Linked DNA regions of Oreochromis niloticus. The protein of the gene in region 1 interacts with the protein of each later gene in a biochemical or structural test. Links are inferred from orthologs where the notes say so. Each region holds a gene or a part of one and is shown on either strand. Other genes may lie near its edges.

Region 1 (7,712 bases):
CTGACTACCAAGGGTAGGGCGAGTGAAACAGAGATCTGAGTATGTTGAACTTGCTTTGGAGTACAAGGTCTTGGTTGCTGTGTCTTTATATGGTTGGCAGTCTTAGTAGAGCAGCTGTGTGAAACACCAATTTATGTGTGGAGACATGGGCGGCTTTAATTTTTGTGTCCACAGCAGTTATGTGAATAACTATACTTAATGTATCAGAGTATTGTTTCTTACCTGATTTATCACCCAGTGTTTGACATAATGTTTTCCTTTAAACATCATAGTAAAAAAAGATTATGTTCTGCACTGACATAAAGGGGTACTGCAGATGCAACAAGGAGTTAGATCTGTTCATAATGGCTCTGTGCTTTTGAGTAAACCTCTATGCTTTTTCTGTATACAACAGTAAATATTATAATCTCTTTCTTGTTTTAGTTGTAGTACAGTTGTAATGCAGAATTATTGCTTCTTTGAGTTCATGAAAGTAAATGGTATATGCTGGAAACATATCAGCTGAAATGCAATCTCGGGACTGCAAAAACAAACAAAAAACCTAAACCAAACCAAAACAAACAAGGATCATGTTGGCCTGACCTATATTAGCTATGTGGTAATCCATGACTTTACTGGAATGCCCCAAACAGCTGACTGGTTTGTGGATTTTGAGTACTGTAACATAATGCATTGAGTTCACATGTAACAACTAATATGAGATGTAAGAGCCAAAGTAGCAAGACTATGAGGGCCAAGGTTTATTCAGCCGTAGTTCACAATAACGAAAAGTGATTCCAAAAGTGCACAAGAACAAGAGCATGTAGACTTACCTGAGAAGGTGTGTCTGTTTCATTGATGGGCTGACCGTCAAATCGAAATCGTATTTGCCTCATTGACAGCCCCTGAGTGGAAAAACAAAATGTTTACTTTTAAACTTCACAAGGTATTTTTGTGACCTCGGGTTTAAAACACCGACTGTGAATTGCAATGACTCCTGTTTCAGGAAAACCATCTTTCCCTACTGACTGCTTAACCAAAAAACCCCTTCAAAATTTGATGGAAATAAAAAGGGTGGGACAAAAGGAAATTATGTGGTTAAACTTGCTCCAAGACCATTAGAACCGTAACAGACTGTCTAAAATTAAATACAATATATTACAAAGTTACATACATGAGAAATAGCTCTAACGTATACAAATAACACAATTTATAAACATCCAGAATATTGTAAAGATTAAATATATATGATTGACATTTTAGTTTTAACTGCAAAACTTTGTTATTTTCACTATAGCAGATGTGCAAAATGGTGTAACTGTCTCAGTGTGTGCTGCGCATTAGATGGGGAGGACTGATGTTGCACACCTAATATGTCTACAGTAGAACTGAGGTGTTTTTAAGACTCTTAACTTCCAGATAAATTTAAGGTTGTGTGGATTCCGCCAAACTTTTCCGGGTACCATGTGAGTAATGACAAAATGAAAACAAAGATTTGCTTCTTTAGGGTCAAACCAAAAACTCTGGATATAGTTAAAGCAAAAAAAGCCTTGTTACCATAGTTAACAGATGTTTGCATTACCCTTCTATTTTAGGCCATCTGATATACAGAAACATATTCTAAGCATAAGTAAATTAAGCAAATTAAATTTTTTTGGAAGGTTTACCTTGTTGGATGTCCAAATATACCCCCCTCCCCCCCCACCCCATTTCTGATTTGGCAAGAACCATGTATTTTTAAATGTCAATTTCGTGGTCTCTTGCTTATGAATGATCAATTTCAGATGACCAGCAATACACTTAAAGATACTTCTAAAAAAAGTTACAATTGTGTCCCAGTCTCACCTGCCGTTCACAATAAGCTTTCATCAGTTTGCTGAGAGGAGTGTGCCTTTTGATCTTAAACTGCACCACTGAGCCATCCTGTCCTGCCACCTTCAGGTTGATGTGCTCGTTGTTCTCCGTCTTTACTCCCTCCTAAGACAGAAAACAAGTTCATAGAAAGTCACACTATTTAGAAAAAAGGGGGAGGTGTGACGATTTACAAGAAACTGCGCCCGCCATTACAAATTCCGAGTCATAGGTGTTTTGCATATCTCAGCGATACCTCATTGTCTTCAAACAAAAGTTAAGTTCACAATATGTGCGTGGATTTACGTTTTTTGCTTGTTTGTTTTATCCTCCGCGACAACTGCCTGCCTGATGTGCGTAGAGCTGAAGACTAGCGTGGGTACCGAGAGCAATGAGGACTGGATTTACAACTTCAACGTTAGCATTAGCTGTAGGCAACTCAAGCAACAATGGCCTTCAATACAACAAGATGCACTGCGGCCTAGCAAAGATTCAAATTATTCCACTTGTGCTATTAACAAAACCCTTATCTCTTTACCCAGGCTTATGGCTGGCGAGTCAGTACAACGGAACCCTTTATTTACAATCTAAGATTCGTTTGCACATTACGACTTTTGCTCAAAAGGTTCCTTTTTGTACCGTTTATGTTGCTCTGTTCAGTCTCAGCGTTAACTCACTTTTCTTGAACTGGTGCTTAATCTAGTCGGGTATGGGATAACTAGATTATTTCCCATTACATGTGCATTAGTCATACAGATGGCAAAATTTTAAAGGTGCCGATTAAAAATTATTTTACAGAAAATATTGATATTTTCTTTATTTCACCAATGGATCGGGTCGGTTAGCCACGTTAGCTTATTATGCTAACTTAACCCGCTAGCTTCCTAACAAACACCGTAAAGTTAGCGCATGTTTGAAGCGGTTTTTGGAGTTATACGATTCGAAGTAATTGTACGAACTGCTTTCCATCAGTTTACCGTGTACATTCAACTTTGTATGGGCTCTGATGCATTTAAAGTCCAATCCTCACCTTGGGCTTTCCATCTGCCATGGCTGCTGCTGCTGCTGAGGACTGTCTGCCTGCGTCTCGCCTGTTCTGCTACTGCTGCGACTGCGCAGTCTAGCGCGCCACTTTGCGTCGGCTGCAGTGAGCGAAGAGCCCGCGTTTGACTTAACAGCAATATAGTTCATGGCTCCAGTATCGTCAAGTTAATAACAATTATTAAGCGAAGTTTAGATACATATAATCTGGGAGTAGAGGCACTGTATCTGTAGTTCGTACTTACCATCTGGCATTGCAAAATGAATAAATGCACATCAAGGACGTTGTTTGGTTATATTAATGCACTTCACATACAGCAAACAACAACATGAGGTACATAAAATCCATTTCAGGGAGCATATGACTATTATTTTTATCAGGTCCTGAGATAGGTTAACGATTGGCAGAAACATTGATTTTCATGCATTCTTATTTTTTCTACAGTGTATATTCTAGGTCCCAATGAAAAAAAATGCAACTTCCCACAAACGGCTGTAAAAATATTATCTAGTATTATGTTGAGTTGAACTGATTAATTTGTTGACCTGTAAACACCATCTGTAATGAGCATCCCTATATAAGGCTGCTGTTCCTCTGTGTCCATATACACCACTGAGTGTTTCCCAGGGCCACAACTTAGAATCAGCAGCGGTGCATAGCTGGTGGCATGGTGTGCAGGTCCCAGGTTCAAACTCGTAGACCGTTGCGGTGTTAGTGGGAGATAAACATTTGGGGAATACAAAAATATGGAGATGGACAAGTCAATCATGTCAGTGCTTCAACCATATCCAAAATGATTGCAATTGCAGGAGTAGTCATTCTGGATATACAATATTCAAAATGCAATACATTTACTCTTATTGAATTAAAAGGCCACACCCTGCATTATAAACTAAGAGAAAAGACTTGAAGGGGGATCTCTCTCTCTCTCTCTCTCACATACGATTATCCAACAACATTTATTTCAGTAGCAAAGCACCCTTGCAGAAAAAAGAAGAGTGACATTTTGCCACTTGCTTTGAATGGGAAAAAGCAGTACCATCTGGTGGGGAAATATAAAAATAAAAAACTGAGGCGAGTACTCCAAAATCAAACCTTAACATAAAGGAATGAATTAGTTAATGTCAAAATAAATGTAGGATCAAAAGTTGTATTTTCAATTACTTTGAATGGGGGAAAATGTGGCCCGTTAGAGTACCTTAGACATTTTAAGTTAATTTAAGGAACTGAGATAACAATTCTAAAATGAAAATACATTCAGTTGCATTTACACCGATTTTGAACACTAAAAAAAACAACAACAACAACAACAAAAAACCCAAAACAAAAACAAAGTCATGTTAAAATGTTAAAAGGTTTAACATAAATAAAATCCATCCCAGGCTTTATTCATCCATGCACAGAAGTAGTTGTTCAAAAAATGCAATGACAAGTTAATTTAACAATATGACAAATAAATAAACTTATAAGAAATATGTAGAGAACCTCCAGCACATGTAACTCCAAAAAGATAAAGACAAAGAGGTCACAATTCTGTATGAACACATGGTAAGTTACCCAAGGGTTAGGCCTTGACCTATGGCTGCCGTTTCTTCCAACATGAATTAAATTTCCTCGTTAAGCCCATCTCTAGTTTGCTAAATAATGTAACGTTTATAACAAGTCTGTATGACTATTTGGTAACATTACAGACTCTGAAAATCACACTAACCTTTTCATCTATTAATACAATACTCAAAGTATCTATTAATAAGGGGAATGCAGGATACAGCTGACAGCTGCATCACCACACATTTCGTTAGGAGTTGTGATATCTTCCTCACTAACCAAAATAAATACATTCATGACAATAAATACTGCAATGCTAAAAAATATTAGTGCTGAATATAACAGGCTGAGCTGTGATTTCCTGTAAAACCCAGAAGAAAGGTATTCAGTTGTAGTTTTGAGCCACACTGGAAGCGACCGATTTCCAGTCAGCCAATATTGGAGTGATTTTTGAGCAAAAGAGGGGCTCTTGTTTGCTTTGGCCTGACGTCTCAACTCTAAAAATCTTACACAGTCATCAAGAAATCATGTGAAACTCAAATTGCGATCACATGTTCATACAACCACAGTTTCACAATCATTTTAACCTCTAATGCAAGACTGCCTTGTTTCCAAAAGTGCAACTATTCTCCAATAAAACAGAGACACAAATAAGAACATTAAAATTATATCAAAGGGGTACTAAAAAAAATGAAAGCACAACAATATTTAAAATTCACCAAACAACTACCATCAGCATTCAAACAGTTCATTTTGTTAGTTACTGCATCACACTGACTACCTCTGGTATCGTAATAAAATTAGCGCTGTATTTGTGCTACATCAGCAGACCATCTTCAACTCTCTGAAATCCAACAAAGTTTATCATATACTCAAACTCTGCCTGAAAGCTTTAATATTTTGCTTTCTTTTGACCACAGCAGAGCAAATCGATCAAGTAGTCTTACAGCAATCAGCCTACAGAGCTATAGAGCTCCCCATTTATCAACAGGTGGAAAATCATTCACCTCCCCCACTTCTGTGAATGGCTGCTCTCCCAGGGTGAATATCAATTTATATCTCATCCGGACCTTTTCCTGCAAGACATAAAAGCAGAATGTTTCAGTTAAGGACCGCACTGAGCCATTAACCATTATATTCTCATATTGATTGACAAGGAAGACAGTAAAAAGATGTTTCACCGTTCTTTACTGAATGAACAGCTCAACTGAGTAAGCGCTCTGTCAATAAATAAATGCTTAAATGCACAAACACAAGAAAAGCTCAAGGCTGAGCTTTACCTTGAGAGGATTGGCAAGCAGCATGATCTGAGTGATGGCAGCAGGGGGAAGTATTGGGTTAAAAGAGGCCAGCTCTGTACCCGAGGGTGGCTGCAGTTTTACTTTCATCGTCTGGAAAATTGGCAGAAGAGACATCCACATACATCAAACAGAAGCTGCATCCCACTTAAATTCGATTTTTTCTCAAAAATCTAATCTCATGATGCAGGAACAGTGTTACGTATGCACGTCATGTTTTACCCTGGGCACAGCAGCCTGCAGAACAATGTTCTTGACCGGCTGAGTGGCTGTGTTAAGCATGGACGCCACCATCACCAGCACATCCGGCCTGCCTGGTGGAGAGTCGGTGGCGAAATGCAGCAGAACACGAACACCATTTTTATCATAAGCTGTCACTGGGCACACTTTACCTAAAAGTGTAGGTAGCGCAAAGAAAAAGAATAAACTGAGATTACTTCATAAACTGATAAGGCAGTACACACGACCCTCAACACAGTCATTTGAGTCAGCTAGAAGAAGTTTCTGCTTTCATGCACATCGTTCCTTTCGTGCGTGCTGCAATGCTTAATTTCAGACCACAATAAGAAGATAAAATCCATCTTATTTCCAGTATTAATATGTTTTTCACTGTCAATTTGTTATTCAATTTTTCACTGTCACCAGTAATGATCAGTAATGATGAAATGTTCATTTTCCCATCTAACAATTATGTTTCGACAAAAAACACCTGGAGGTCAGTGAACCATCTGCAGTACACAGGCACGAATGCTTTCCCAAAATCTCTCAGGTGATTATTCTCTCTACAGAATTTGCTATCAAAGTAGACAGATGGTCAAACAGCAGCCAACATTTTAAATTACTGGTTGGAAAAACAAAAATGTCCTAATAAAAACAAAATACATGTTCACATTTTGAGAACATAAAGCTCTTTTTGAACAGCTTTTACACTGGTCCTTTTCAGTGAAAAATCTACTTTAGAAATATATATTTCCAATAGGTTTTAAGGACTAAAAATAGTGTTAAGTGCTTAATAGAGTAAACACCATTTTTCCATCACTGAAAACCTCCAGAAAGACATCAGATGATCTGATTTGACCTCAAATTTATCTTGTCAGGGACCCTGAGCATACACTCCAACAGGCTACAAAAACCTTCACTTAGAGATAAACATATAGTCAGTAAAGCCCACTTGGTGAACTCACTTGGCTTGATGGTATCAAGAGGGACAAATACATTGGCCAGGGACACCTCTTGTCCTCTACCTGGACTCGACTGGCTCAGGGGTAGAACAGGGGACAGAGAGCGCAACAGAGGGCTGTCATCTGCCTGACTCTTGATAGACAGAGGAGCAGACCATGCATGTATTCCTTCTGATATAATTGGGGTGGATGTGGCTTCAAGACTGAAAGACAAAGCGCAAAGAAAATGTTTGGAAAAAACACACATTTTTTGTAATTTTGCCTCTGTACACCACCACAGTGGATTTTAACATTCAACAATCAAAATGTGATTTAAGTGCAGACTGATAGATTGGATTTGGTGAGTTTAACAGAAGTACTACAATTTATACAAAGCCCCCTATTTTCAGAGACTCAACTGTAATTGGACAAGTGACTAACAAGTAGTTTCCTGGCCAGATTAAGTCTGTCTCCTCATTTTTTCAATGCAAATTAAACACAAAGATCTGAAGCGCTGAACTATGTATAAAAATGAGTGAAAATCCTAAACAGTTTCCGCCATGCTTTTATTAAATCTCTTAAATTAAAAGCTGAAAGTTGGCACTTCACTGATTTAAAATACAATACGACAGTGTGCAGAAACTGTGTCAGTGTCTAAGTATTATACTACTTATGGACCCATATGTATAAAACAACATGTAGTAAATGTTTGGCACAGACGAGATCATAAATATTTATCCTCTACTTGGGAAATTCTTTTGTTACATCAGTTGAAGTAATGACTATCATTATTTGGCACATGTGTACAGCATGTGGTATGAAAGACTTTCTCTG
Region 2 (6,855 bases), on another chromosome or scaffold:
TTAATATTACATACATATTTAATGCTAGCGTTTATATCCTCTCACAGTACACTCTCCAACTAAAGCAACCTCACCCACCCCATCAGTTCATTTCTTAAACAAACACAAAAAACCTGTCACTATTAACGAGACTGTCATACAAGCCAAATTAAAAAAATAATAATAATTGAACATTATTTTTATTATAGTTTTTTCTTCTTCATTATTTTATTGTTATTTTATTATAGTTGTTGTTTTTTTATATATCAAAATGAAATATACAAAAATGGTCTTATCAACTTTCAAATACTAAACATGTTTTTTTAAATGACTGTTTTAATAAAGTTGTTTTGCACCCAGTGGAGGAGAGCTGTAGGATGCACTTCACCTCATGCTGGGATAAACTCCATGGAACGATGTTCTGCAAAACTAGACTGTACTCAGGAATTTGCATTTACTGAATCACTATGAGACAACATATAACACATTCACCACAATACAATCCCCTCTTATTTTTAAAGCTGTGTTACTGGTGACAAGCGAGCTGTGGACCTTCCTGTGTTTCCCCTACAGGTGTGGTAAAGACCACCAGCTGCAGTCTAGAAGAGTGCAGTTGATCTGCTCAATGAGGAACTAACTGATGACACCACTGAGTTTCCCACAGTATTATTTGGGAAACATGGATCATCTCACTTGTTAATTTGATTTAAAAGTCAACATTTAAATATATCATGTTTCAACAATTAGCCTAGAAACACACAGATAAGATTTTAAGTCAATGTCACCCAGACAGAAAACTGAGCATTTAGAGAAGTCTGAAGTCCGATACACATGAAATACTTCTGCATAAATGTCATTATTTTAAGTTCTGGTCATGTTTAACATGAACTTTGGAACATCATATAAACTCACCTCAGTGAACAACTTCTGATTCTCTGCCTGCAGACACTGCGTGGTCTTCTTCGCTGTAGCGAAGGGTGACTGGGTAATGTGTGTGGGCACTGGCTGCTGAGCTTTGAGCGGCGAGACATTTTTGGCTTGAAGGTCAGGGCTTGATTTGGAGGCAGAGGAGGAGGGCTGAGGACTCTCTTCTTCTTTGTCTTCCTCATCAAGCACAATGATTTTGTCTGCCATCCAGGCAGGAGCCACCGCCATCCAAAACGCCGGCTTTCTAAAATACAAACAGGCAGAATGAGACCAGAACAGAATGACACACAAGCATCAGAACTTCAGTGTTTTCAAGATCTGTACGATATTTACATTGGCACAAAGAAAAAAGTGACAGATTCTGGCCATGTGGGCACTTCTGATCATTTAAATACCAAAGCAGGGACCTGCACTGTGAACCGGGTTCAACAAACCCAGGATATTTTTATCTGGTTTCAAAGAGAACCAGTTTCAGGTCATATTCACATGAAAGATCTGAAACAAAGACAAGTCTAATGACTGCAGAGTGACTCCCTTTACAAATTATGATGTCAGAACACAAAATGAAGAGTAACACACAGTAAGGCTGAACGCACCACAGCTGCCACAGATAGAATTACTGTGTTTCTGTACGAGGAAATGTTTCAAAAGTGCTACATTAATGTGTGGAAAAGTCCAATATCAAAAAAGTCAATTTAAAGTCAGGAACGAAAGCTGAACACATGCATTTGTGCGCATTAACAAAGTTGTCACTTTCACAGCTCCACCATAAAGACACGGGAGGATCTGAAGTATAATTACAATTTTTTAGTTTGTAAAATCAACACTATAGTGTGCAGATGTGTGTGAGACAGTTTCAGCTGCACCCACGTATAAAGGAATGAAATAATTTAAACATTGCTTGCAGTGAAAAGGGAAAAAGCAGGAATAAAGCTGCGTATAAAAATCCATATTTTTTACTGATGCTCACCAGAACATCAGAATGATGGTCAGTAGGTACTGGTTTTCTATATGTATGCTACTCTTCTTTAACAAAACCTACTGTGGATCAGCATAGTTACCTGATAATAGATGAAGCACCTTTGAAAGGTTTAAAAACTGGGGTTAACCTGAAGTCCCCTCACTATGCCCCAAATCCTGCTTCATAGAAGAGGCCCCTGGTTAGGTTCATGGCATGTTATCAAAGTCTTACGTTGTTTAAATCAGCTCTGACTGAGGATCCCTCATATTGGGATTTTTTTTTTAAAAACAGTTTAATCTGAGCAAATAGCTTCCTGAAACAGGGGCATGATCACTCAAATTCCCAAGCTGGGTAATGGATTTCTGGAATGACTGCCAAAATACCTTTGTGGCCCTCAGAAGTCTCCAAAGTCATGTCAGTTGACTGCTTTCAACAATGTCCCGTTGCCTAGACAATTCATCTGAGGATGTGTGAACCTGTGATTTACATGCCACCATTTTCTATCACCAGTTAAACTTCAATAACTGGAAGGCAGACTCCTGCGTCCATATTAGAGCCTTAACACAGAAGCATCGAGCTTGTGAATTTGATGCTTCATTTAGGGCTACAGAAGCCGGCTGATCAGCGTTATCGTTTCGCTGTGTTTACTCGGAAAATAGGAAAACAAACAGGGGATAGCAGTTTCCAAACACATGAAAGTGAAACTAATCACGATGACACAGACAGCACATTACAGGTGGAAAACTTAAGACAGAAGGTTAAATAAAGCACGCCCACGCACACCGTAATAATGAGACAGTAGGATACACACCGACCTGTTCTCTACGAGCTGCTGGAGTTAACAACGAAACTAGAAAACGTTGCACCGCCGCAGGACATCACAACACTCCAGTTAGTTAGCTGACGTTAGCTCTGGAGGCTAGTTAGCATTCGGACTTTTCTAAGTAAAAAAATAACCTGCCAGAAAAAAAGTCGAGTTACGCTCTCATCGCCTCGCGAACCGGGTAAACAAACCCGAGATAACCTCTAATCTCGTTCGTTTTTATCAGACTGGATCTTCTTCATCAAAACAATGCCCCTTCACTTAGCTGTGCTATCGAATCGAGATCGAAAATGTACCCGCTAAACTCCGCTCAACATCAACGCCTCTGATTGGACGACAGATTCGTGACGATGAGTAATGCCATTTCCCATTGGACAGCTGCTGACATGTACCGTTCTACTATTATTTTTATTATTTCTTTGAATGTACTTAATTGACTTTATAAAGCTTCTTTGTTTTACATTTAGTACTTTTATATTTTGAACTTTTATCAGATTTACTGTTATTTTGTGTTTAAGTTCAATGTGAGATTCAGAATGGGGAAGAAAGATGGTTTAAGCTACTTTCAACGTGGTAGGGGGTAGACTGGTAGGGGGCCAGTCTGACTCTGAATATTTTAGAAAATGCTGATCTGCTTGGATTTTACCACACTACTTTACCAAACTACACAGCAGAATATTGGAAAAACGTTTTCTGCTCTGACAAGTCATGATTTGTGCTGTAACATTCAGATGGGAGGATCAGAATTTAGGGTCAACAGCATCAAAGTATGGATCATCCTGTCTGTCTACAGTTCGGGCTGGTGATGGGGTATAATTTTCCTGATGAACCTCGGGCCCCTTGTTACAAAGTATTGTTTAGACACCATCGGCTCCCTGAGTATTGTTGCTAACCATTTCCATCCCTTTGTTACCAGTGTAGCCATTTTTAAATGGCTGGTTCCAGCAGACTTATGCACTATGTCATAAAGCTCAAAACATTGCAAACTGGTTTCTTGTACATGAGGATAAGTTCACTGTACACGAATGGCCTCCACAGTCACCAAGTTACAATCAAATAGAGCAATTCTGGGATGTAGCAGAACGACAGAAACATGCCATGGACACTGTGTGATGCTAACATGTAAATATGGACCAGAATCTCAAAAGAATATTTGCAGCACCTTATTGAATCTATTCCATGTAGAATTAAAGCAGCTCTGAGGACAAAAAAGTATTTAACCCAGTATTATTAAGGTGTACCCAATGAAGTGACCAGTAAGTGTGAGTGAATGTGTGGTTTAAAGTGTGTACAAGAGCAGAGTGTTTAACAAGAAGAGGACTTATTTGGTGTGTTTCAAGAGATTTTTTTTATTTAATTAAAATTCAGAGTCCGTTTAAATCAGATGCTAATTTAAAATCTTCCTTACAGCAGAATTTTGTGCTCTGTTTGTAAAATCTCAGTTTCAGTCACAGATTTAATGTTTATTAGCCGGGGCAAGCATGTGATGAAGAAAAATACAAACACACCTAAAAACAATATGAAAACAGAAATACAATCTCCATATTTACAAAAAGGACAAAAATAAGACGGACAATTTGAACAGTCTATTATTATTATTATTATTATAAATATTATTTTTAAAATAATGAGTCTATTATTAGTCTAATAATTTTTACTTAATTAAAACAGCATCTCCTTTTCTTTATAAACCAACAAGTACAGTCCGATCTCTGGTTCCAAAAAGTGTGAGTTAATGAGGTTTTTAGATAGACGGGAACATCGAATGGAAGAATTAACCTTTAAAAAACAGAAGCTGATGTTTCAACACATCACTCCAAACTTCCTCTCATAGTTTTTCTTTCCAGTGTTTGTGACGACATATAAACCATAAACAGAGGAAGGCAGAACCACACAGCTCTATAAAGAATGATTAAAGAAACGTCACAAGAAAAGTGTTTGCGCTCAGCTTCTTCGAGATAACCCTGTTCCTTTCTAAAGAACAAAAAGTTGAATCCAAACGTTTTAAAATAAACAAATTTGCTAAAAACAAGCATAAAACATACAAGTTTACCTCCAAACCAGAGCAGTAAAAAAAAGAAAAGAAAAAGAAATAATCTGTCCCATGAACATGTGGAAAGCCCCTCCTGAAATCCCATCAAACATATCGAGTGGATTATTGCCACTGATGGTCAGTCGCCTTCTTTCATCTTCACTTCTCTTTCTGTGATGGGAAAAAATTGTAAAATTAAATTCAGAGGAAACACCAAGAAGCACCACGTCCAGGGTGATGAAACATACAGTAGGTAACTAAATTAATAAGAGATTTCTGTAAACACATTTCAATGTTTGTCTGCAGTAAATATAACAGTGACATTACCTTATCTTGTTTATCAGCCTCAGCTGAGCCTATTTACAGAGAAATACAAATTAAAAAACAAAAAGTCAGGCACAGAATTTAATAAACATCTTACTTTTTGAAATATATTACACATTATTTTTTATTTGATCCAAAAGGTAACAAGATTTTCTCCAGCTTGAAATGATTAAAAAAAAACTTCAATACACATTAAAACTGTCATTAGATATTTTTGTGTCAATATTTGCTACCTGAGCTGGTAAACGTCCACGAGACAAACTTGATGAGCCCATAAAGCACCAGCGCCACGCCGACCATCGCCATAGAGTCCTCGATGGACGGAGAACTGAACCCTGAAAAGGAAAAAAGATCGTTAGGATTTATCTGATCTGAATAAGTTTGTTAATATCAGTTAAATCATTCTTACAGTACTGTGCAAACATTTTAGGCAGGTGTGAAAAAATGCTGTAAACAAAGAATGCTTTCAAAAATATAAATGATTGTTTATTGGCCCCAAATGTATTCTGCAGCAGAACAACGACCCCAAACATACAGCCAAAGTCATTAAGAACTATCTTCAGTGTAAAGAAAAACAAGAAGTGCTGGAAGTGATGGTACGGCCCCCACAGAGCCCTGATCGCAACATCATCAGGTGTGTCTGGGATTACATGAAGAGACAGAACAATGTGAGGAAGCCAACATCCACAGAAGATCTGTGGTTAGTTCTCCAAGATGTTTGGAACAACCTACCAGCCGAGTTCCTTCAAAAACTCGGTACAAATGCAAGTGTACCTAGAAGAAGGCAAAGGGTGGTCACAGCAAATATTGATTTGATTTAGATTTCCCTTTTGCTCATTCACTGCATTTTGTTGGTTAATGAAAATAAATGATTAACACTTCCATTTTTGAAAGTATTCTTTGTTTACAGCTGCCTAAAACGTTTGCACAGTATTATATATACTTCAATATCCAACCTTTAAGAGTTATTTCACAAAGCCCTTCCCATGTTTGTCACCCAACCGAGCCATTTCAGGTACTAACAGAAATAATTATTTAATGGCTCTCATGGTGTTTATCATATCTGTGCTGCTTCATTCATCTATAACAGATATACTAAAATGTTCTAATGTCATTAATTATTACTTTAATGCAACAGTTCAGGTAAGTCTGAAGGTTTGTGATGCAGTAAATCTACTACTTTAGCTCTGTTTTTAGAAATAAAATATCACAGTGGGTCATTAATGGTACTACATGGTTACTTGGTGATTAACAAAAATCAAACTGTTTTAAATCCAGAAGCTGGTGATTCAAACTGTTTACTTAAATCTAAGAATGTGTTGAACTACATCAAAAGTTATCCAGGTAAACATGTTTCAAGATTATTTAAATAGTTAAATATTTAGTCATTTATATGTGATACTAACCTAATAAGCCTCATTTAAAGGAAAGTGTTTTGTTAGTGGAAATATCTTTTCTTATATCAGTTTCCCTTCTATACTATTCTACCTTTCTTCTCTCTATTTCATCATTAGTACCTTCTCCAGGTGTATAAAAACTGCTTTAACTCGATATAAACTGAGCTGTTAATTTGCTTGCTTGTCTTCCAGGTTTGCTTCACATTACCAATGACATTGAGGGTCACGCTGGTCCGTCTCGTGCCTCCAGCGTGGGCGGCCACACAGGTGAGCTCCCCTCCTCTGCCCAGGTCCAGCTTAGAGGTGTCGATCTCGAGCCGGGAGGTCTGGCTGAAGGTGCGGTCCCAGGCCTGCCTGTGGCCTGTTACGCTGAATGAATCCAGGGTCTTGGACTTCCCGTCGGCACCTTTAA
Region 3 (7,932 bases), on another chromosome or scaffold:
AACATCTTCTGTCCTTCTAGGATAGAAAACACGATTACAGACAAGCCTTTTACCTTCACCGGCATCTTTCAGCAGCTTGTGCAGCTCCTCCACCGCCTGACTCAGCTCTTTGCTTTTGGCCTCAGAATCTGCAGCTGCTCCCTGCCAGAATAAACGATGAAGTATAACAAACACTGGGAAAGAAGCCGTGCAAATACATGCAGGGATTCATTTCATTTACAAACATAAAGCTTAACCACTGTCATTTTAATTAAATATGTAAACACTCAAAGTTCAAGTTTTTAAAATCACAAGTTCCCTATAACAATTTTATTTAGCCTAGAAACACACAAACAATAAGATTCTGGCAACAAATATAGAAGTTGTTGATCACGGGCGCTACAATCATAACGTAACGTAATAATTTACTAATGCAAACCAGGAAATAATGGTCCAGCAGTGCAGAGTACCACACCACATGGTTTCATTTTGCACGTGTACATACCTTGTATAAATTGCAAAGCTTAATGTTGGCATTGAGCTCATTTCGGAACTTCTCCTCCATGCTGGTGTGTTGCTCCTTGGCCTAAAACAAGTTAAAATCCAACCATTCATTTTCACTCCGAGTGCCTTCATCATAATGTACGTTTACATAATACCAAAGGGTTTGATTAAAAAGGAATGACTGTCTGGAAACAGACATACTTCTTTGAGTTTGCTGATCATGTCCTCGTTTTGTTTCTGAAGGTTCTCGTTTGATGTCTTCAGACTGGTCACTTGATCTTGGAGTTTTTTCATCTAGAAATCACAAAGACAAATGGCATCAGATGACAAGTCAAATAAGGATCTAACCCATCTCAAAATAAAGAAGTGTCCACATTCAAGGCACAATGAGCACTGAGATCAAAGTAACAAACCAAGACAAGTAATCTCTGAGTCAGAGCTAGCTCGACAAACTTCTTCAGACATCAACATCTCAAAGAAAAACAAAAACAAAACAAAAAAACCCCAAAACAACAAAGGACGTGCCTCATCTTCTTTATTCTCCAGGGAACACTTCAGCTCCAGGATCTCGTTACCCTTCTGCCGGGACAGGGACAGCAGTTCCTCACTCTTGGCCTTCAGCTCCTCGTTAAACCAAGCTGTTTGGCTGTGCAGCAGCTCTTTCTCTTGTTCCATTCGTTTCTCCTTATACTAGAAAATGATCACAACTTCAGTCAGTGATCTGCTGATAACCACGGAAAACAGAAAACAACTTTCTCTCGCAGGTGGTGTTAAGATATTAAATCTACATGAAAATATCAACTCACTTTGATGTTGACTTCAGCTGCCTCGAGATCATCCAACTTCATCTGCAGGGTCATCTTTGACGAGTTCACTTCCACCAACTTATCATTGAGTTGCCTCAGGTCATCTGGAAGAGCAAAAGAAATGACTTTGTTATGTAGAGGTGAGAGTTTACATTTACAAATATACATGCAATACATATGAAGTTATATAAAAATAATTAATTTATCTTTTCATACCATTTAAGTTCTCCACTTCTAAGGATCTCCTCTCCAGTGTTCGCACAAGTTCTCGCTTTTCTGCCTCCAGTTCATCTTTGGCTTTGGACAGCAAAGTCTAAACAAATGCATTAATTTAAACAGAGTGCTTAGTGTTATAATACTTACAAATTAAGCACATCTTAAATCCTTAAAGCATCCAAAGCAGTTCAATGATGCATACATTCCCTTTATACACTTATATTTTCATTATCAAGAAACTTCTACAAGGTGCATGAGTGCAAAAGGACGGTAGGGGGAGGGGCTGGTCACGTTAAGAGATCTGATTGGTCAATCCAGTGTTATTAATGAAAATGAAGGAATTGGCTCCTTTCATATTGAACGTGGAAGTTATGGCATAAGCGCAAGGAGGATTTAAATCTTGGGTGTCAAACTGTGTTAAACCTTTTTCTATTGTTATGTTTAATTTGATCACCTGCCATACATACAGTTTTTACAAATATTCTTGCTAAAAAACGCCTGATTGTTCTATAACTGTTCATAATTACTCTGAACCTTACACCGACAGCAATAATAAATGCTCAGGCTCCAGAGGACATATGACCACTCTAGTTCCCGATAGACTAAACTCAGTTAGAAACATTTTTTAAAACAAAGCGGTTATCAGTGATTTTCGGATTCCCTACCTGCTCTGATGACAACCTCTGTTGTGCAGATTCGTATTCTCGGTTCTTCTCGCGAACACTTTGGAGTTCCTCTCCTTCAGCAAAAAAATGAAAGTCAGCGGAAAGAATAAAGGTCAACATTGTGGAGTCATAAGTGGAATCAGTCCGAGTCCGATTAGAAAACCTAAATTTATTATTCTCACCAAGTCTGTTAAACTCATCTTTGAGTTTAAGATGTTCTTGAGTGTGAGACAGAAATTCTTCTTGACATTGGGAAAGCTGTTTAACTTTTTCGAAGAACTGTTGCTCTGTAACAAGAAGGTAAACACAAACAGGTAAGACAAGAAGATAAAATCATCCCCTTCTTGCTTTATTTACTTCTTTTTTGCTATCAAAAGCAGTGGTTAGCTCAGAGGGTTAACTAGTGCTAGCATTAGCTAGCGTCTTATTCTTGTTATTGGAAGAGCGCAGTTTCATCGCCTGTTAGTTCTAATCAACATTTTAAAGCCCCTGACGGACAAATGAAGTAATGAACAAAGAACGGTTATTATGTTCAATACGTTCAAAGTAAACTTCTGAGCTTTAACATTGCACGGTTTAAAACAGGCATGCATGCACTGTAAGCAAAGCCAAACACTTTAGCACGGCTAGCTATCAGGATAACAGGGAATAACTTACCGCTGTCAACCCGGAATTGCTCGTGTTGGGCTTTTAATGAATCGATTTCATACCGCAGATCCGAAACAATTTTCTCGAGTTTACTTTGAATTGTTTTTGGTAGCTTCGTTAGTTCGGAAGCCTCCAACTCCTGTTGCAGGAGTGCCGCCATTTTTCCGACTGCAAGACGAGCAGGCGCAGTTGATAATTTGAAGCATTATGGGAAATGTATTTCTTTTACGCGAGGTAGCGCTTCAGTCAACCTAAACAAACCTCGCTTGAAAATAATTCTTAAGCTGTAAAAACAAAACTAAAAAACAACAACAACAACAAAACAAACAAACGAAAAAAAATCCGCTTTCCTTTCCACGATGTTTAAACCGTGTGTTAGCAACTAGGTCTAAGTTTTTAAAAAATCGTCCTCGTGACCTCTGGTGTTTACGGGATACAGATACTCTAGCCAGTGACGGCCGGCAGATGGCGCCAAAACACACTAAATCGACGTCAATGTAAGTACCAACGTACCGATGACTGTAGAAAAGATTGTTTTCAAAGCCAATGGTAAGTACGCGTGTGCAAGTATAGTATATTCGGGTATCAAATATCTGTTATTATTATGTATATATATATATATATATATATATATATATATGTATATTGAAATCAAAGGTTTATAACGTTATGACCGATATCATCAAATCAAATCTCATGAGGCATTAAAAAAATATTTGCAGAAGGCTTAAAGACAACTGGACTATATTGACTATATTGGACTAGCCAATATAGGGCTAAAGTTGCCTTTAAAAGTCTCTTTAGTATAATTAAAGGATAGTGAGGGTGGTGCTGTGCAGAAAGAATAAAAGGATACACTGGCTCGTTAATTAATTCGTTGACTGCTTGACTGGATATCACTATTTTCCATTATTATTAGTATGCTTGCATATCTGTAGGTATGTGAATGTAGGCAGCCTGTATAAAGTTCAGTTTGTATTTTTGTTTGCATCTATAAAAAGGTGTGGGTCTTGATAGGTGTTTAACTTTTACACTTAAAAAATGATCGTTGACCCTTAGAAACATGGGCCAACATTTTTAAAATAGATAATAATAATGATAATAAAATGCAGCTGAAACATATGAAATCAATAAAAAATCATAATTAATCATTAAGGAATTTGTTTTAGGTGGAAACTGAATGTGTAAAGATTATATTTGAATAGATTCCATTACATTTAACGTTTTACATTTCACTCATATAACAAAATTATATGGAAAATGTACATGTAATCTATATATCTATCGATCTAGCTAGCTGCCGATTATGATGCAAGTTTTGCTTTGTGTCCTTTTGGATTTACAATAATAACTTGAATATCTTTATAAACGTGATTCCTTTGCTCCATACAGAAGCAATGATGTCTCTCAGCCCCAGAGCTAATCTTATCTTTCAGTACACCCTTCATAGCTTCATGCTCCGTATTACACAGCACATTTAATTAATTGTAAAAGCTTGAAGTGTGAATGTTTGCATTTTTTGTGTGTAGCTGTGTGTTTTTTCCTTTCTTTTGTTACACAGCCACTTACACTTTCACTTAGTGCTCTTGGGTGGAATTTCTTCAGAAGTCTCAGTTTCAGACATTTTACTGTGTCCCTTTGTGACATAAACCTTGTTGGTATTCAGAAACTGTTGAGACTAGTTGGACAAATACCTCAGTGGCTCGTTGGTTCATAATGAAAATGAGACTTCCATGAGACAAAAGCGTGAACATGAGAAGTTTTATGGCAAACTTTTGCTGCAGGCAGCGGAGCTATTTTCTGACAGTCTGCTGTCACGCCTGGATACCAACGCGTACAGTAAGCTGCAGCAACATTACAGTGAAAACCTCTTAATCTGAGTCAGCCATACCGACAGTTGTCAGGACTTGTCATCAGCATTAAAGTTAGGAGCATGGACACTCCAGCCTGTGGTGTTTGAATTTAAACAGATGTGATTCATGGTTATGGGTACATTTACTTAAATTCATCAAAGGTGAGAGTACTTCAAAAGAACTTTGCAGCAAGTTAATCTTTTGGAAATCTAGCCACTCATCTCTTACCCCATCCTTGACATTTTTTCAGGTTTCGGTCCTTTCATTCAGTAAAGTGAGCCTAGCGTGTGAAACCTCAATAGGACCAACCCAAACGTAGGAGGTGGGAGCCTCCTGTGCACTGTAATTTATTTTTCTGCAGCCGTTCCAGCTGTGTTACTCATTCTCATCCTCCACTGAGTCCTCCATCCTTTTCTTCCCCATTTCTTTGAAAAGTTTGCTCCCTCCACCTTTGTTTTGGTAACAACAATCATGTTCTGTGAGGCTGTGTTGCTGTGGCGGTTGCATTGCATTGCACTTTATTCCACGCGTTCAAAAAGTTGCCCGTTGTTTGTACTGAAAGCTCACCAGGCCCAATACTCACATCATCACTTCATCGCTGACCTTCATGAGTCACGAGGATCTTAACAACATATATAAACAACATTACTTAAAATAGGTTTTCTTACAGGCAGTGAGGACGCCTCGCAGTTATGTCATCTCCCTAACATCCGGTGTCCATATTTGGTCAAGCGCGCTTCCAACCGGGTGTCCTGCTGTGTCATGACATCACCTCAGTTAAACTGTTTTTTATGTGGGTGAACTAGAGCGCGACAGCTGGGCTTTCCAAGAGTCCAAACATAAAAAAAGCACAAAAAAGTGTTCCAATTAGCGAAGGAGTATAAACAAAGGGGGGACCGAAATGTCAGAATGGGGGTGTAATCAGGTGGTCGGAGCAGGGGTAAACAGTGAGATAAACATTTGTTTGAGTGCAGCGGTGAGTCAGGTCATGTATGGGGTCTTTTCCAAGAGGAAAGACTTACTGTATCTGTGTAAATGTTTTTCTGGACTTCACTTGGCAAAGCTATTCAGGAAACTCGGCTCATGTGAGGCCGATCCTTCAGATAAGCCTCGAGGTAAAATATACCCTCTCATTTCTTAATGGCGTTAAAAAGAAATTTCCTCAGCTCTTCCAAGATTACTCACTGTGGCTTCTGCCGCACTCACTTGTACCCTAAAGCCACAAATGGATGGTTGTAGATTGACTAAAGTGTGACTTAAACATTGCACCATGTTATTGGGAAGTCGATGGCTGTCCTGTTTGCAAACAGTGTTGTCGTCTAGTCGAGACTTGCTGATGTGTTTGGGCACCTCGAACCACTTTCTGCTCCAATGGCTTCTGTGGAAAGTATCAAAAAAGATTTTGATAGAGACGTTATGGTGTAAAAATGATGCAATACCAGCTAGAGGCTATGCAAGTCATGCGAGATGCGCTACTGTGGAATTGCGAACACATGTAGATCCTAAGAGGAATATTTATAAGCGTGTAACAGTTTGGCAGCTCTCGCTTCAAGAGTAATTAGAAATCCTTCTTACAGGCAATTATATAAGAGACTAATGTAGTTTCCCCCTAAGGAAGCCACAACCCCCCCTCACCTCAGAAAGCTTAAAAATAAGCTTGGACGTGCTTTTCCAAATCTTTATATCACTAAAGCTACAAAACCTACAACAAATAAATTGTGACCCCCTGTTAGTCACATTTAACCCTTTTTTTTGCCTTACAGCAGGGGTGAGGGAACTCCAGGCCTCGGTGCCGGTGTCCTGCAGGTTTAAGATGTGTCCTTGAACCAACGGCTGATTTAAATGGCTAAATGACCTCCTCAACATGTCCTGAAGTTCTCCAGAGGCCTGGTGATGAACTAATCATGTGATTCAGGTGTGCTGACCCAGGGTGAGATCTAAAACCTGCGGGACACCAACCCTCGAGGCCTGGAGTTGCCCACCCCTGCCTTACAGCATGAAACCTACCAATTCAATTAAAGTTACAATCTGACCTGATACATCCACGATACATTAGGTTGTGGGACCATCTTTACCAGCAAGGTCTACGGGCATTTGTTTGTGCACAGATCTCTGAGGTCCCTGCGTTTCAGCCGTGTTGAAGTCTTGAGTCTGAAATGGTCATTGCTGCTGTGCTTGTGGTCATTTGTCCTGTCGTGACATTCAGTTTCAGCTAAAATTTTTATCTGAAATTGGACAGAGGATTTCATACATGATTCAGTGACTCCAAGGTGCCCAAGTCCTGGCTGCAAATCAAACCCAACTCATCACCCCTCCACCGCCGTGCTTGACAGTTAGCAGGAAGTGTTTGTGCAGATATGCTGTGTCTGTTTTTTGTGTTAACGCTAAATTCTCCAGACCAACAAACTGGTCCATAGATGAGTCTCATCCTTTAAAAACAATAAAATCAGTAAAATACACTGGAAGGAAAAAAAGAACAGAAGGTGTTTGCTGTTAAACCATTTTAGTGTTTGAGTGCATTCAGGACAGTTTGGTGCGACACTGCAGTAACTGGGACCGGTGGTGTCACTTAGTGAGCATATTAGAGCTTCATAGTCCAAAGGTAAAGGAATCAGTGCATAACTCTGACGACATGGGTAAGTCCTCCGGGGGACCTCTTCAACTTTTTGTTGAACCCTTAAAGAGCCGAAGCATCGCATTTACAAACTGAACAGCAATGAACTAAATATTAAACGATAACACACATGGATGAACTTTCCTAGAAACACATAAAACTGCCGCCCTTTCAGATACACGCACACCAGTCATATCCTGAGCAATAACGTCCGAGGCTCCTGCTTTTCAGTCAGAGTTAGTGTCAGATGTCCTCTGTTCTGACTTAATATTTAGCCTGAAAGAGAAAAATGCGAGTGGCTTTTTGAAACAGTGACTTTACTTTTGCATTAGAAAAATTAAAAAGGCAGACTGAAGATTGTTGAATCCTCAGTGGACAGATGATTAAAAAACAAGTCTGATAAATGAAAATGATAAATGTAGTGAGAGACAGAGAGAAAAGCAGTAAAGTAAGGACGGCCTTTTGAGAAGATGGAAGCATGACCCGTAAATGTGTCTTATTTCTGTAAAGCTTCTCTATTTTCTCAAGTGTTGTTCCCAAAATGTGGTTTTAATGATTTGATTATAAGTTAAACACAGTAAATATGATAATATAGTTATGATAAATTACCGACGAGATGGAGGAAATCTCTGTCTGGAGGCTGGCTG

Evidence for each region.
Region 2: the proteins of small ubiquitin-related modifier 2 (region 1) and daxx form a complex in vitro, tested with the Homo sapiens proteins (4 studies listed by BioGRID, with this or other methods). The link is inferred for Oreochromis niloticus from reciprocal best matches to the Homo sapiens genes SUMO2 and DAXX.
Region 3: the proteins of small ubiquitin-related modifier 2 (region 1) and tprb form a complex in vitro, tested with the Homo sapiens proteins (2 studies listed by BioGRID). The link is inferred for Oreochromis niloticus from reciprocal best matches to the Homo sapiens genes SUMO2 and TPR.

What each region holds. Positions count from the first base shown.
Region 1 is NC_031971.2:26,017,957-26,025,668, forward strand, and holds the start of small ubiquitin-related modifier 2, read right to left. Parts: upstream 3,020-7,712; 5' UTR 2,882-3,019; coding exon 2,861-2,881; intron 1,957-2,860; coding exon 1,825-1,956; intron 885-1,824; coding exon 813-884; intron 1-812. Other genes in the region: ADP-ribosylation factor-binding protein GGA3a, read right to left, coding at 5,386-5,496, 5,701-5,811, 5,941-6,110, 6,903-7,102. UniProt on the Homo sapiens protein: Ubiquitin-like protein that can be covalently attached to proteins as a monomer or as a lysine-linked polymer.
Region 2 is NC_031985.2:8,769,958-8,776,812, reverse strand, and holds the start of daxx (death domain-associated protein 6), read right to left. Parts: upstream 3,016-6,855; 5' UTR 2,679-3,015; intron 2,273-2,678; exon of another isoform or gene 2,251-2,272; intron 1,151-2,250; 5' UTR 1,135-1,150; coding exon 892-1,134; intron 1-891. Other genes in the region: tapbp.1 (tapasin), read right to left, coding at 4,882-4,893, 5,050-5,078, 5,280-5,381, 6,652-6,855. UniProt on the Homo sapiens protein: Transcription corepressor known to repress transcriptional potential of several sumoylated transcription factors. Down-regulates basal and activated transcription.
Region 3 is NC_031981.2:2,409,933-2,417,864, forward strand, and holds the start of tprb (translocated promoter region b, nuclear basket protein), read right to left. Parts: upstream 3,016-7,932; 5' UTR 2,979-3,015; coding exon 2,828-2,978; intron 2,458-2,827; coding exon 2,353-2,457; intron 2,245-2,352; coding exon 2,171-2,244; intron 1,603-2,170; coding exon 1,506-1,602; intron 1,394-1,505; coding exon 1,290-1,393; intron 1,174-1,289; coding exon 1,009-1,173; intron 778-1,008; coding exon 685-777; intron 566-684; coding exon 485-565; intron 142-484; coding exon 54-141; intron 1-53.